Stegostoma tigrinum: one gene and its partner. The protein of the gene in region 2 purifies or fractionates together with the protein of the main gene of each other region. This does not show direct contact. Links are inferred from orthologs where the notes say so. Each region holds a gene or a part of one and is shown on either strand. Other genes may lie near its edges.

Region 1 (6,968 bases), on a different chromosome or scaffold from region 2:
TGGACATGATTTATTTTCTCTTAGGCCTTTCTAGGAATCTTGGAATCATAAGCACAGAGATAGGCCATGATTATACCAACTCTATGGAAGAGCTAATTTAGTCCAGTCCTCTATTCTTTTCCCAATATCGCTACAAGTTTCATTGTTTGTACATTCTGACTATTCTTTAAGCATAACTTACATTATACACTGATGCTTCGCTGATACACATTCTACAACCCTGTGATGTGCCATGTTGCATCTATGCAGAATGTTAGATGTTAGTACAAACCACTAAAATCTTAAATATTGCTTACCTGTCATCTTTTTTAAGAAATACTCCGGCATATGGTTGAGCCAAACGCACTTTTCTTCGAAGGAGTTCCATTAACTTTTTGTTCTTTACCTATACAAAGGGAAAAATATTCACATTTGTGCAGTCACCATTCTTGCATTAAACTTTTAGTATCTGAGATGTGAAATTTAACACCAAAGCAGAATACCAACATGCTTTTCTCATTCAGTCTTAAAAGATTATTCACCACTGTTTATGGAGGATGTACTTGTGTGCATGCACACATGGAATACATGTTGTGGGATGGATATCTGAGTGCTCAGCACTTTCAAGTAATTCCAATTAGCAGATCTTCACATCACCCAAGTTAGAAAGCTATTCCCCCACAGTACGCATCATAATCTGTCCTCGCCACATTCAGAAAGTGAGTAAGATCACACTTAACTGTGGAATGGTGAAAGCAATTAATTCAGCAGAGATGAAACCCAGTACCTATCTAGTTTGCATAACTGAGTACTACAAAAAGTTAGGCATTTATCTGCAGAACTACTGTGAATGTTATACAAGGTATTCTAAGCCATCAAAAACAGAAATTGCTGTGAAGCTTCTCAGAAAGAGTCACAGGACCTGAAATGTTAACTGTAATTTCTCTTCACAGGTGCTGACAGACCTGCTGCATTTTTCCAGCAATTTTTGTTTTTGTTTCTGATTTATGGCAGCCACAGTTCTTTCAGTTTTTATTTAGTATTCTAAGCTATGGTATACTTAAGAGATTCACTATTAAGTTCTAATCAATTTTAATTTTTTTTCCCTCAATTTTATTGTCTTGCTTTTAAATGGAAAACACAATTAACTCCTCATGCTTGGTTGGTATTCTATTTTTGAAGAGGGAATAGAGGAAGAGCCATGGAGGATTGTTGATTTTAGATGAGAAAGAAATGTTTTTAGAACAAGATATTTTATCTGATCTTAAAATCCATTTATTCACAAGGTTGACCATAACTCACTTGTAGTCTCAAGTTCCAGTAAAAGGGTATTAATCAGCAAACAGGACTTTTCCATTGTTTATGCAACCAGACTGGCTGTCCTCTTCTAGCTATCTGACAAACAGCACCAAATACAAAAAGTACTGGATGAGTCATCTATCCAAAGTGGAAAGTCAGCGGCCCTCAAGGATTTTACTGCTGCTTTTGAATTGTGGATTACCACAGACCATTTTTAACCATGTAGTGTAGTTTTCTACCAAAATATATTTGCATCTGTAACGAGTGATATATCAAATCATTTCTGATCAACTCCCAATTACTCCAATATGCAATATCACAATGCTTATAATCAAGTCTATTTTGTGTCTCATGAGACTTTTCTTAGTCTGTAAAGCATAGAGAATTTCAAATAAGAAAAGTGCCAGAGAAACACTAAGTCTAGTAGCGTCTGTGGAGAGATACAAAGTTGCGAGTCTGATGTTATTCTTCTTCAGAACTGAACAAAGTTGGAAGATTATGGTTTTACGTTGCTAACAAAGTGGAGGGGTGGAGCAGATGGGGGTGAACAAAGTAAACGATAAAGGTACTTTTGAAGTAGTACAGGAGGCATATCGATGAAAATAGGTCCAAATGGCAGGTATGAGCAGTCAAAAATGGATTAGCTTTGCTGAGCACAAACCCAAACAAACGACCCTGGGAGTGAGTGAAATCAAAAACGGAGGACAGAAATTACTCAGCGCCACGTTGATTCCTGAAGGCTGTAACGCGCCAAAGAAGGTGATTCCCCCCCCCCCCCCCCCACCTTGCTGGAGTACTGCACCAGGCCTGAAATAGAATTGTAACCAAGACAGCAACAGGTCAGAAGACAGAGGGGAGTGTTGCGCATAGCAGTCTCCCGGCCTGCGTTTGGGCTTACCAATTTGGAGGCAAGTGTAAGGTAACTTTGCTACAGTAAGTGGTTAAACGCGTCTTTAACGTATGATATTGAAATTCGTACTCTAAAATAATCAAATTAAAAGTTGTCCTTAAGTCTCAAATTTGCAAATGAAAACTACCTTGGGTAATATAAAATAGTTTGGAACGTAATAACTATACATTTTCCCGTTTAAATCCACTCATCCAAATATTTTGCATTTAAAGTTCCCATTCGCGCAACGTTTCCCATCCATCAACGACTGTCACATTCTCAAAAACGTTCTCCAGAATTCCTACCTCAATTATTTTAATAAATCTGGGGAACACGGGGTTCCTAGTGACGGCGATCAAGGGGACATTGGGAAAAACATCCGGCACGATCATAGGGGAGAGCGCAGTCATGGAAGGGGGCATACCCGCAGCCCCTTCCCCACCTCCACCATCCCCGGTCCCGTCTTCCACGCCGTCATCCCCCGAATTAACCGAACCACCACTGCTCTTTTCACTGAAGTCCTGGAAGCTGCAGGTTTGCTGCAATCGGGGATTAGATTGCGAAAGGAGCCCGGATTTCTTGCCATTGCAGCATGCTGATCCTGCTACCCTGGTTACCGTTCTGCACCGGCCGCAGCTCCGCAATCCCTCAAAAGCTACCGAACGGTACCGCTTTATTGAGAAAACAACACTGGTCTCACTGTTACGCCCGGCTGGAGCAAAGTTCGTCACCACATCGAATAGTCGATACCCTGGTGTGCCTCTATTCAACCAGCGAGATATGGAGGCAAGTCGTATGTAGGCTGCCATCTTGATTACTAATCCTAAACTCCCACAATGCCTCTCGGCGATCTCTCTGCTGAACTTCGGAGAGAATCCGTGCCACGCCTTGATTGGCTAAAATAGTTACGGCTACGGAGAAAACATTTTGAGTCCCTTCCTCTGACTTCCCACCTTTTCCACCTGTATAAAATCTTCCAGAAAACTATCCATTCTTTTCTGAAAGTCAGCTTGAACCTATACCCACCGCAATTCCAAGTAGTTGTACTCGTCAGACAAGGAAAGTTGATAATTTGGGATACCATTCAGCTTTTGCGTTTGGAACAATTGGACACTGGTTGCCCCAGTAGCATCAAACCAATTACATGCAACAAAAGTGTCCATTTTATAAAGGGGCATAAACAAAAAAAAAACAAAAAGAAGAAAACCACTTAAGACTGCAACAAGGATTATTTTTCTGATGTGGAGGTGTCAGTGGTTGGACCAGGGTGGACAAATTCAGAAGTCCCACAACACCAAGTTATAGTCCAACAGGTTTATTTGAAATCACTAGCTCTTGAAGTGCTTTGTTCTTTGTTAGGCGAACATGTATCCATATGAATTATACAGTTCTACATTTTTACATGGTAACAAAAAAAGTCATTCCAGCTTCACTAAACAAAATCTTTTTGAGCAGCATAAGTAATAAAACCTAAACCACATAAATAAAATAAATGTTAACTAATAATAATAATTCTACACATACTCAGTATGCATTCCAGTTTCTTCACTGTTATCCAGTCATAAAGATCTCAGGCACTCACTGGGGCACAATTCTTGTGTCATCTGATGCCCTATGATACCTTTTCCTTTATGTAACTCAACACAGTAAATGTCAATGAGTTTTCAATTAGCAGAAGGATTGTAGCCAATTCTGATGTTGCCATTACATGATTTCCACAAGTGCTACATAGCCATCAGGAATAACAAAAACAATATGCATGTATATAAAATATTTGCTAAAGTCAAACATTCCTAGAACATCAAATGGAGTATGATCAGACAAAAAATTAAATCAAAGCAAGAAATACCAGGAGGATTGACTGTGACTAGTCAGTGATGAATACTAAGGAGCATCTTAAAAGAGGCAAGGGAAGTGGAGAGGAATACCCAGAGATTCGGGGTTATAATACAGAAAGAAAATTCTCATACATTTGTAGGGGGAATAGAAAAGCTAGTGAGGTAAGAAAGGATAAATCTTTGAGGGAGGTTGACTGCAAAAATGCAAATTTAAAATTTGAGGCAATGGAGAAACATTAAACAAAGTTAGCAACAATGGGGTTATTGGTAAGCAGATCTTGGTGAAATGAAATATGGTAGCAAAATTGAGAATAATCTGAGTTTATGTCTAATGGAGGAAAGCAGCTGCCTGGTAAAACATTGGAATAATCAAATTTGGAGATGACAGAAAGATCCATGAGATTCTTGGGTATAGACGTGCTGTTGCAGAATGTTTGCTATGGACAATATGTGGAACTATAAACACACCTAAGAGTCAAATATGTTGCTTCCATTGTGAACAATGGAATTCAATTTGTGATAATGCTTTGGGATGGTTGTTGGAATCAATGGTAAGCGAATGGAGCTATGACAGTTTGTGACCAACTGATCTATATCCTGCTGTATCCTCTGACAATCCTCCTCACTATCCACTACTCCACCAATCATTGTATCATCTGCAAACTAACTAATTAAATCAGCTATATTTTCCATCAAATCAGTTATGTAGACCACAAACAGCTAAGGTCCCAGCACTGGAACACAGGTGCGGCGCAGTGGCTTAGTGGTTAGTATTGCTGTCTCACTGTACCAGGGACTTGGGTTCAATTCCACCCTCAGGACCATCTGTGTGGGGTTTGAACATTCGCCCTGTGTCTGTGTAGGTTTCTTAAGGGTGCTCCAGTTTCCTCCCACAGTCCAAAGATGTGCAGCTCAGGTGGATTGGCCATGCTAAATTGTCCATAGTGTAAATTAGGTGGATTAGACATGGGAAATGCATGGTTACAGGGAAAGGGAAGTGGGATGAGTCTGGGTGAGATGCTTTTCAGACGAGTGGTGCGGATTTCTTGAACCAAATGGTCTGTTTCCACACTGTAGGGATTCTATGATCCCTGGTCATCCAAGGTTCACATAACTTGCCATACATATCCTTTATTCTTGCAGGAATGTGCCACTCCTGAACTCTTATCAACTGCCATTTGATGTGGATTTACCCTCAAACAGCTGACTCCAATCAAAATGCTCCAATTCGTGCCTAATATTGTTGTAGTTCACCTTCCCAATTTAACACCTTCACCCGAGGATTGCTGTTATCCCTTTCTATGACTATCTCAAAACCCATGGCATTACAGTTATTCCTCCTGACATTCTGCCCCACTGAAACTTCACTCATCTGACCAGGCTCATTCCCAACACCAGGTCCACTATAACCCCTATCCTGGTTGGACTGTTTATATACTGTGTTAAAAAAACCCTCCTGAATGGTCTTTACAAATTCTGTCCCATCCAAGTTCCTGGCACAAAGCGAGTCCTAGTCAACATGGGGAAGTTAAACATCACCCATCATAACAAACCTGCTGTTTTTACATCTTTCCCAAATCTGTCTGTGTATCATCTCCTCTATCTTCTGTTGGATGTTGGGAGTCCTGTGGTGTACCCTCAGCATTGTGATTTCACCTGTCCAATTCCTGAGTTCTACCTGTATTGCCTCACTGCATGAGTCCTCTGATAGATCCTCCCTTGGTACAGCTGTGAGATATTCCCTTACCAGTAACGCAACTCCTCCACCCCTTTTTATATCCCTTTCTATTACACATGAGAGGTCTAAATCCGGGAACATTCAGCTGCCAACCCCTCTGGGTTGCTTACCTACGAATACATATACTTGTTCTAAAGGAAGTGCAACAAAGGTTCAAAAGTCTGATTCCTGGGATGAAAGTATTATTCTATAACTAAAGATTAATAGACTAATTTATACTCCTTTGAACTGAGAAGAATAAAAGGTGATTTCCGTGAAATGTAAAAATTCTTCAGAGGATTGACAAGGCAGATGCTGAAAATTTTCCTTGACCAATAGACAATAGGTGCTGGAGTAGGCCATTCGGCCCTTCGAGCCAGAACCACCATTCATTATGATCATGGCTGATCATCCACAATCAGTATCCTGTTCCTGCCTTATCCCCATAACCCTTGATTCCACTATCTTTAAGAGCTCTGTCTGTCTCTTTCTTGAAAGCATCCAGAGAGTTGGCCTCCACTGCCTTCTGGGGCAGAGCATTCCATATATCCACCACTCTCTGGGTGAAGAACTTTTACCTCAACTCTGTTCTAAATGGCTTACCCCTTATTTTTAAGCTGTGTCCTCTGGTCCTGGACTCACCCATCAGCAAAAACATGCTTCCTACCTCCACAGTGTCCAATCCCTTATTAACCTTATACGTCTCAATCAGATCCCCTCTCATCCTTCTAAACTCGAGAGTATACAAGCCCAGTCGCTCCAATCTTTCAACATATGATAGTCCCGCCATTCCGGGAATTGACCTTGTGAACCTACGCTGCACTCCCTCAATAGCAAGAATGTCTTTCCTCAAATTGGGAGACCAAAACTGCACACAATACTCCAGGTGCGGTCTTACCAGGGCCCTGTACAGCTGCAGAAGGACCTCTTTGCTCCTATACTCAATTCCTCTTGTTATGAAGGCCAGCATGCTATTAGCTTTCTTCACAACCTGCTGTATCTGCATGCTTGCTTTCATTGACTGATGTACAAGAACACCTAGATCTCGTTGTGCTTCCCCTTTACCGAACTTGACTCCATTGAGATAGTAATCTGCCTTCCTGTTTTTGCCACCAAAGTGTATAACCACACATTTATCCACATTAAACTGCATCTGCCATGCATCCGTCCACTCACCTAGCCTGTCCAAGTCACCCTGTATTCTAATAACATCCTCCTCACATTTCACACTGCCACTCAACTTTGT
Region 2 (7,824 bases):
ATTTATGCTGAAAGGAGGATTTTTAAAATCTGCTTAGTTTGTTTGCACTTAATCTGTGAGGATCTTCTAAAGAGACAGAGTTAATCATATACTGCCACACATGACCTTGCCAATGTCTAAACTCATCACCCTTCTGGCGGTGTCACAGCAATTAGCATTTCTTTTAAAAAATCAACAGTGTTCTGTTCTTTCTAGGGGGAAATGCAATTGAAGGGAAATTCAATAGGTGTACATTAGTTCATTTCATGGGGATACATTTATTGAGGAGAGAAAAGTTAATACAGTATTGTGTTAAACTTTGTCTGGCTTTGGGTTGAAATACATTATATTATGGCTGCAGTGCACAGAAAATGCCAATCAAACATTAATGCTAATTAATAACATCACTGGTGCTAAACTAGTGGTACACTGATCATTTTTCCGTGAGATACATTCAATCACATCAAGCCGACAGGATGAAAGACCTTTATTGGAAGTAAGGCTCCTAATCTCAACTAATTTGGCCAACTTTACAATTTATTGAGGCAGTACAAAATTGGCATAATTCAACATTTACGGCACAAACTCACAATTTAATTCAGAGAGGCACAGATACAATTTGTCAAAACGGTAAAGTAGGAAATGCTCTTGTAGGCTCAACAATAATATAGATTGTGTCAGAATTTTTACCCAATATCCTATACAGTATAAATATCGCTGTCTGAAAGGATCCTAATAGCAATGACAGTGATGACAGTGGCAAACAGAACATAAACAGTAGGCCATTCAGCTCAAGTCTGTTCTGTTGTTCAAGCAGATAATTGTTGACCTGCACCATAATATCTACATTCTGCTACACTGAGTATTCTTGCCCATCAAAAATCTAGTAATTTCAGTTCTAACATTTTCAAATGACCTAACCTCAAAAAACCTTTTTGCTGAGCAGGGAAAATAGCTTCAGATTGTTATTATCTTGTGTGTGAAAAAAATATTTCCTTACATTATTCCTGAACAGCCTAGATAGCCCCTAGGTTTAATGTCCCCATGTTATTTTGCCTCCCTCACAAGAGAAAAGAATCCTCTTTCTGTTTTATCAAATCGTTTAGACATTGTTAACATTTCAAATAGATTACTGTTTAATATTCTATCATCGGATGAATACACGATTAATCTATACAAGCTGCCCTCATAATTTAACCTTGGTTTTACAAGGCAGAAGGAAATGGATGGGGATGTATATAAAAGTAATTTGTATTTGCTTGAGTTATTTTTCACACACTAAATGAACCAGCAAATTTTTAATGGATTTTAACACTAAATGCTCAAGTAAAATTATGAACAATTGCAAACAATCACAATATCAAGTTCATTTCCATTGCAACCTAGCTTCTGCCTTTACAACTTTGTCTTAATGCAATGAGCAATTCACAAATGAGTGGTTCACTGTTATGGGCCAACTCACAAAGTCACCACCTTATCCTTATATTTCCTTGGAAATGGCACTCCCTTAAATGCAGAACAAAAGATTGCTGTACTATCAGATCATTAAGGAACTTTTATAATAAAACAAAACAGAAATTGCTGGAAAAAAACCCCTCAGTAGAACCAGCAGAATCTGTGGAGATACAAAACTGACATTTCACCAACTTCAACAGTGACTGGCTGCCCTGCCAAGCATTTCTAGTATCTTCTGTATTTATTTTGTATTTTTAGCACCAATGCTATTTTAATTTAGTAGAAAGAGTTCGTTCCTTTAACTATTTAAATTAGACAATTTAAACTTTTAAACCAACTAGTTGACAAATATCCTGAAGATGCCACTCAGCAGTCAGCTACATTATCAGGACTTAAAACAAAACTCAGTAGAACACAATAAATTATTTGTTCCTGAAGCAGTCTGCTCACAACTTCCTTGTGTATAACTTCCATAGTCAACTACAAGTGCAAGAAATATTCATCATGTTGATGAGACATCAATGGACATTTGGGTTACATTTAGCAGAACACAGCATCACAGAGCTGCTACGGCAGATGTTACATGTCTAATTCCACAGGGCATTCAACACTTCAGCTAACTTTTTTAAAATGTACAGATTGCTTCACTGAGTGCAACTTCGCCCCCTTTGTAGAACGCTACAAGCTTGTGAAATGTGAATCAAGTTCATGCTATTGTGCATAGTTACAAATAAAGACAAAACAATTGACACATTTTGCTACAGCTAACAAAAAAAGGATCATTGCATTTTCGTACGTTGGCATCGCACACCCTTTACTTGCAATAATCCATGGTTGAACCTTGAGATCCTGAACCAATCGGACCTTTTTATTTGAGCTGTGCTTTAAGTGATAGTGCACGCAATTATGCAATCATAAATGTGTATAAACTGACATAAAAAGGCGAAGAAGGAAATGCCTGCGATCAGTAATGGGTAAGAATCTGTGCTTGTTTAGGGAAACTCAAACTTTATGACCCTCTCTTGGCAAAACAAACATCCCGTAACTCAACTCGTTGCTTACAGAGTTTCTTACAGGTTAAAGTCCCTGAGCAAAAGGAACGAAGCACGAGAGAGGCACTCAGTACCAACTGATCAGATTGCCCGAACACTCTAACACACTCGCCCCAGCTCTCCGGATGGATGAGAAAAGGAGATGACAGCAAAGTGACTTTAAGTCCCCGGAACACTTCAGTTCCCAGCAGCAAACATTCCCGCACTCGGCAATCTCGCTCCTCCCCACCTACTGCCCTTGCCTCCGGACCCTTTGCTCTGATAAGTTCACTCCAGGAGGTGTTTAGGAAGCGGAGGGGCAGGGGCAGCAAGACTCCGCTTTCAAGGTTTCTCTCTCTGTCCCTGTGGTTCTTACCTTCCCTGGACAGGGACTCGCTGCCCAAACTTAAAAGGATTAGGAGGTGGACGCAGCCCGGCAGCAGGGAACAGAACATGGTTCAGCGGCTTCCCTCTGGGCGATCTCCCGTGTTGAGCACACAACAGGGTAGGCAGCAGTTAGCGCTGAGTTTAGCTAGCCCAGCCCCTCTGTCTGTGTGTCTGCCCCTCCCTCCCTCTCTCTGCCTGTGTCAGCCTGAAGCTAGCACTCAGCCTGACGTCAATTCACTGGGAGGAGAGAGAGAATCCAGGTGAGACTGACACTCACAGGGTCCTACACTTCCCCTGGGCACACAGAGCACCCTCCCTGGCCACATCGAGCACCCTCCTCTGGTATTGCTTCCCACTCACATCTCCTCCCAGCGGTTGCTCATCACTGGATGGCTCTGTGAACCAGAAGTAGCAGCCAGTCCTCAGACTTTCCCTGTTAACCCTTCAGGGCAGGGCGAGACCTCTGAGAAGCAGCGAGCAGGGTAAATACAAGTCATGCTTGAAGGTGATGGAATGGTCCGAACGCGACCGTCATTGCTGAAAGTGGAACTGGAGTTCAGCAGTTTCACTTTTTGGATAGTTTTTTTTCTCGCTTCGCAGCCACACAGATCTCACTTGTCTCATTTTTCTTAAAATTAAGGACAAGGAGAAACGCTTTTGGCAATGTGTACGTGAATACACCTGCGAAAAAAAAAATTCAAGGCATCTTGCAAATATAAGTTCTTTGCAGAGACTATTATCCTTCCAAATGGTATCAATGACACTAACTTATAGGTGGGAAGGTAGAATTTAAACATATTTAAGGTATCCTCCATGAGTATGTTAAAAAGACTTTTCAGCACCATTAATGACCTCTATTATTCAGAGAAGGGTGTGTGGAGGAAGGAAACATACTCTAGTGCCATTGGCACCAGCAGGTCCTAAAGTTCATAAATAATGTAAGCAATTTTAGTGTAAGGCTTCCCTTAAGAGGTAAAAAGAAACTCGAGAGAGGAGCAACGCATACAGACTGAAGTCTACACTGTGAAATGTTAAATACTCATTACACCTTTTCAGCTTTCAAACATTATATGTTTAAATGAATGATTTACAGAAATGATTGTGTATATTTCGAAAGTGAACTATTACGAAGTAGCATTGGAATCCCTGCAATGTGTATGAGGATACAAGATGCCCTTTCTTAAACTGCTGGACAAACAAACAAATTATTCAGGAATAACAAAATTCCAGCCCTCAGCACAGTCAGTAGGAGGCTACACCTATTCTTATATCTAACAGCATCAAATAATCGTTTCAGCTTGTTGTGAAGAGGCAATATCTGACTTAATATTAAAACACTGTAGAAATGCTGCTTCTTTTCTTTCTGCTTAAGTCCAATTGTGATCATTCCTGAAAAGGAACAACACTATACCAGTCACAGCTGCATTGAACACTTTTCAAAATTGCTCTTCTATCAGGTTCACATAAATTCTTATTTGCTCTGTGTTTGCACTTGAACTTATGTTACATTGAGAATCTACAACATTTTAAATTGCACTTTACAGACTATTGCTTTTAGATATAAACTTTCAAGTGTCTGAAAAGATTACATTTCCAGGATATAGTTTAAGCAAAATAGTACACAGTGTACAGTAGAAATGCCAGACTTCGCTTTTCAAAGAAACTAGTCCAGGAGATTTTATGTAATTTTTTTCAATATAGGAGGCAATGGTTCATGGCTGCTATGGCAGCAAATAATTGCAAACATTTTGCAAAATCAGTGCAAAAAAAAGGCTGAAGCTTTCGCAGCAATACTTAGCCAGAAGTGCCCAGTGGATGATCCATCTCGGCCTCCTTCAGTGATCCCTAGCATCACAGACACCAGTTGTCAGTAAATTCGATAGACTCCATGTGATTTCAAGAGGTGGCTAGGACACTGGATAGTACAAGGGGTAAGGGCCTTGACAACATTCCGGCAACAGTACAGAAGACTTCTGCTCCAGAACTTGCCACTCTCCTAGCCAAGCTGTTCCAGTACAGAGACAACACTGGCACCTACCCAACATTGTGGAAAATTGCCCAAGCATGTCCTGTACACAAAAAGCAGGACAAATCCAATCTGACCAATTACTGCTCCATCAGTCTACTCTCAATCATCAATAAAGTGATGGAAGGTGTCATCAACAGTGCTATCAGTACCTGCTAAGTGATGCCTGGCTGGGTTCCATCAGAACCACACAGCTCCTGACCTCATTGCAGCCTTGGTTCAAACATGGACAAAAGCGTTGAATTCCAGAGGTAAGGTGAGAATGGCAGCCGTTGACATCAAGATTACATTTGACTGAGCCGTAGCAAAACTGGAACAAATTATTATCGGGGGCAAACTCTCTGGTGGTTAAAGTCAGACCTGACAGATAGGATGATGCTTGTAGCTGTTGGAGTTCAGTCATCTCAGCTCCATGTGGTCTCTGTGAGAGCTCGTCAGTGTAGTGTCCTAGGCCCAACCCTCTTCTGCTGCTTCATCAACAACCGTTCCTCCACCATAAGGTCAGAAGTGGGGTTGTTCTCTGATGATTGCACAATGTTCAGCACCATTTGAAACTGCTCATGTCAAGTGGTTAGTAATGTTTATGTCACAGAAATGCCAGGCTATGACCATCACCAACAAGTGACAATTTAACCACTGCCCCTTGACATTCAATGGCATTACCATCACTGAATCCCCACTATCAACATACTGGGGGTTATCATTGACCAGAAACTCAATTGGACTCACCACATAAATACAATGGCTACAAGAGCAGGTCAGAGGCTAAGAATACTGCAGCATATCTTCTGACATCCCAAAGTCTGTCTACCATTGGCAAGGCACAAGTCAGGAGTGTGATGGAATACTCTCCACTTGCCTGGATGAGTGCAGCTCCAACAACACTCAAGAAGCTTCACAACATCCAAGACAAAGCGACCCACCTGATTGGCACTTCATGCACCCACTTCATTCACCACCAACCCTTATTTGCAGCAATGTGTACAATCTATAAGATGCACTGCAGAAATTCACCAAAGATCCTCAGACAGCACCATGCAAAATCACTGATAATGGGAACTGCAGATGCTGGAGAATCCAAGATAACAAAGTGTGAAGCTGGATGAACACAGCAGGCCAAGCAGCATCTCAGGAGCACAAAAGCTGATGTTTCGGGCCTAGACCCTTTCTCTGATGAAGGGTCTAGGCCCGAACCATCAGCTTTTGTGCTCCTGAGATGCTGCTTGGCCTGCTGTGTTCATCCAGCTTCACACTTTGTTATCCTACAATCCAAAATTACAACCACTTCCATCTGGAAGGACAAGGGCATAAGATATTCGGGAACGCCACCACCTTCAAGTTCCCCTCCGAGCAATATATTGCTGTTCCTTCACTGTCATTGGGTCAAAATCCTGGAATTTCCTCCCTAATGGCATTGTGGGTCGGGCCACAGTAGGTGGATGGCAGCGTTTCAAGAAGGCAGCTCACTATCACCTGCTCAAGGGCATCTAGGGACGGGCAACACCCACATCCTATTAATCAATAAATTAAAAAAAGGTAATGACATTGAAGGATATATTAAATAGTTTAGTATCATTGCAAGAAGGCTTTAGTATAAATTCAATTGTTAATACATGAAGCTATGAAAATAATACTCATTTATGCCTTTACTATCATGATGGAAAGCTGACATGATAGTGTGCTCAGATTATCCAGGTCTCTAAAGTAAATCAATCTAGACTGCAGAAGACTTTTGCTAAGGCATACATAATCTGAATATACAAAGAGGAAAATAGACAGCAAAACAGCTCAGAGATTAGTAATATTAAACTTTATTAAGTCCTCCAAAAGTGAACCAACATATAACAACAGCTTATATTTGTATATTGCTCCAAGGCCCTTCACCATGCCACCTTAAAAGAAAATGTCATATCACGTCTCATGAAGAGATATAGATGTCCAAGAGCATGGTCAGGGAAGAAGGCTTTAAGGAGTATCATAAAGGAGGAAGGAAAATTCTACAGACAGCAGGGTTTAAAGAGAGAATTACAGAATTTGGTACCACAGACAGCAAAGGCACAGGGAAGTAACTAAAATTTTCAAGATGCTGGAATTAGAGGAACACATGTATCTTGAAAGGTTGTAATGCTGGAGATAAATTAACTTTTAGGTCAAAGTGTGCCTTAGCTGGATTTAGTGTAGCTCAGTGTGGACAGAAGTGATGAGTGAATGAGATCTGACATGGGCTAGGACACAGGAAGTGGAGTTTGTATGACCGAAAGTTTATAGAGTGTAGAATCTGTGAGGTTGGACAGGAGGGGCTTAAAATAGTGAAGATGGTATGGATGTGGGTTTTAGCAGCCAATAAGGTGGAAATCAATTGTCTCAGCATTGACACTTATTGCATATGATCATACAGTGATCTTAATGTGACACTGATGTTGCAAGCAGTTACCACAAAAGGAATGGAGTCAGTGATGAGGAAGACAATGGCTTCAGACTTCCTGGTATTTATCTTGGGGTAATTTCTGTTCATCCAGGCCCAGATGTCATATCACAGTCTGATAATTTACAGACATATTCAAGCCACACAAATACCAGGCTGTGACCGTCACCAATAAGAGACAATTTAGCCACTGCCTCTTGACATTCAATGGTGTTACCATCACTGAATTATCCACTATCAACATTCTGGGGTTTATCATTAACCAGAAACTCCATTGGATTCACCACATAAACACAATGGCTACAAGGAGATAGTAAGAACTGCAGATGCTGGAGTCAGAGGTAACAAAGTGTGGATCTGGACGAACACAGCAGGCCAGGCAGCATCAGAGGAGCAGGAAAGTTAACATTTTGTGTCAGGACCCTTCATCAGAAAACAAAAGGTAAAGGTAAAGTTATGTAATCAGGAAGGCTAATGGAATGGTATGCGGTATTACAAGAGGAATTGAACTTAAATGATTA

The links. The genes of interacting proteins can lie anywhere in the genome.
Region 1: the proteins of egfra (region 2) and lonp1 purify together in Homo sapiens (affinity purification with mass spectrometry; 3 studies listed by BioGRID and IntAct, with this or other methods). This does not show direct contact. The link is inferred for Stegostoma tigrinum from reciprocal best matches to the Homo sapiens genes EGFR and LONP1.

Annotation. Positions count from the first base shown.
Region 1 is NC_081383.1:27,675,743-27,682,710, forward strand, and holds the start of lonp1 (lon protease homolog, mitochondrial), read right to left. Parts: upstream 3,007-6,968; 5' UTR 2,977-3,006; coding exon 2,473-2,976; intron 386-2,472; coding exon 297-385; intron 1-296. UniProt on the Homo sapiens protein: ATP-dependent serine protease that mediates the selective degradation of misfolded, unassembled or oxidatively damaged polypeptides as well as certain short-lived regulatory proteins in the mitochondrial matrix.
Region 2 is NC_081355.1:101,249,993-101,257,816, reverse strand, and holds the start of egfra (epidermal growth factor receptor), read right to left. Parts: upstream 3,017-7,824; 5' UTR 2,921-3,016; coding exon 2,842-2,920; intron 1-2,841. UniProt on the Homo sapiens protein: Receptor tyrosine kinase binding ligands of the EGF family and activating several signaling cascades to convert extracellular cues into appropriate cellular responses.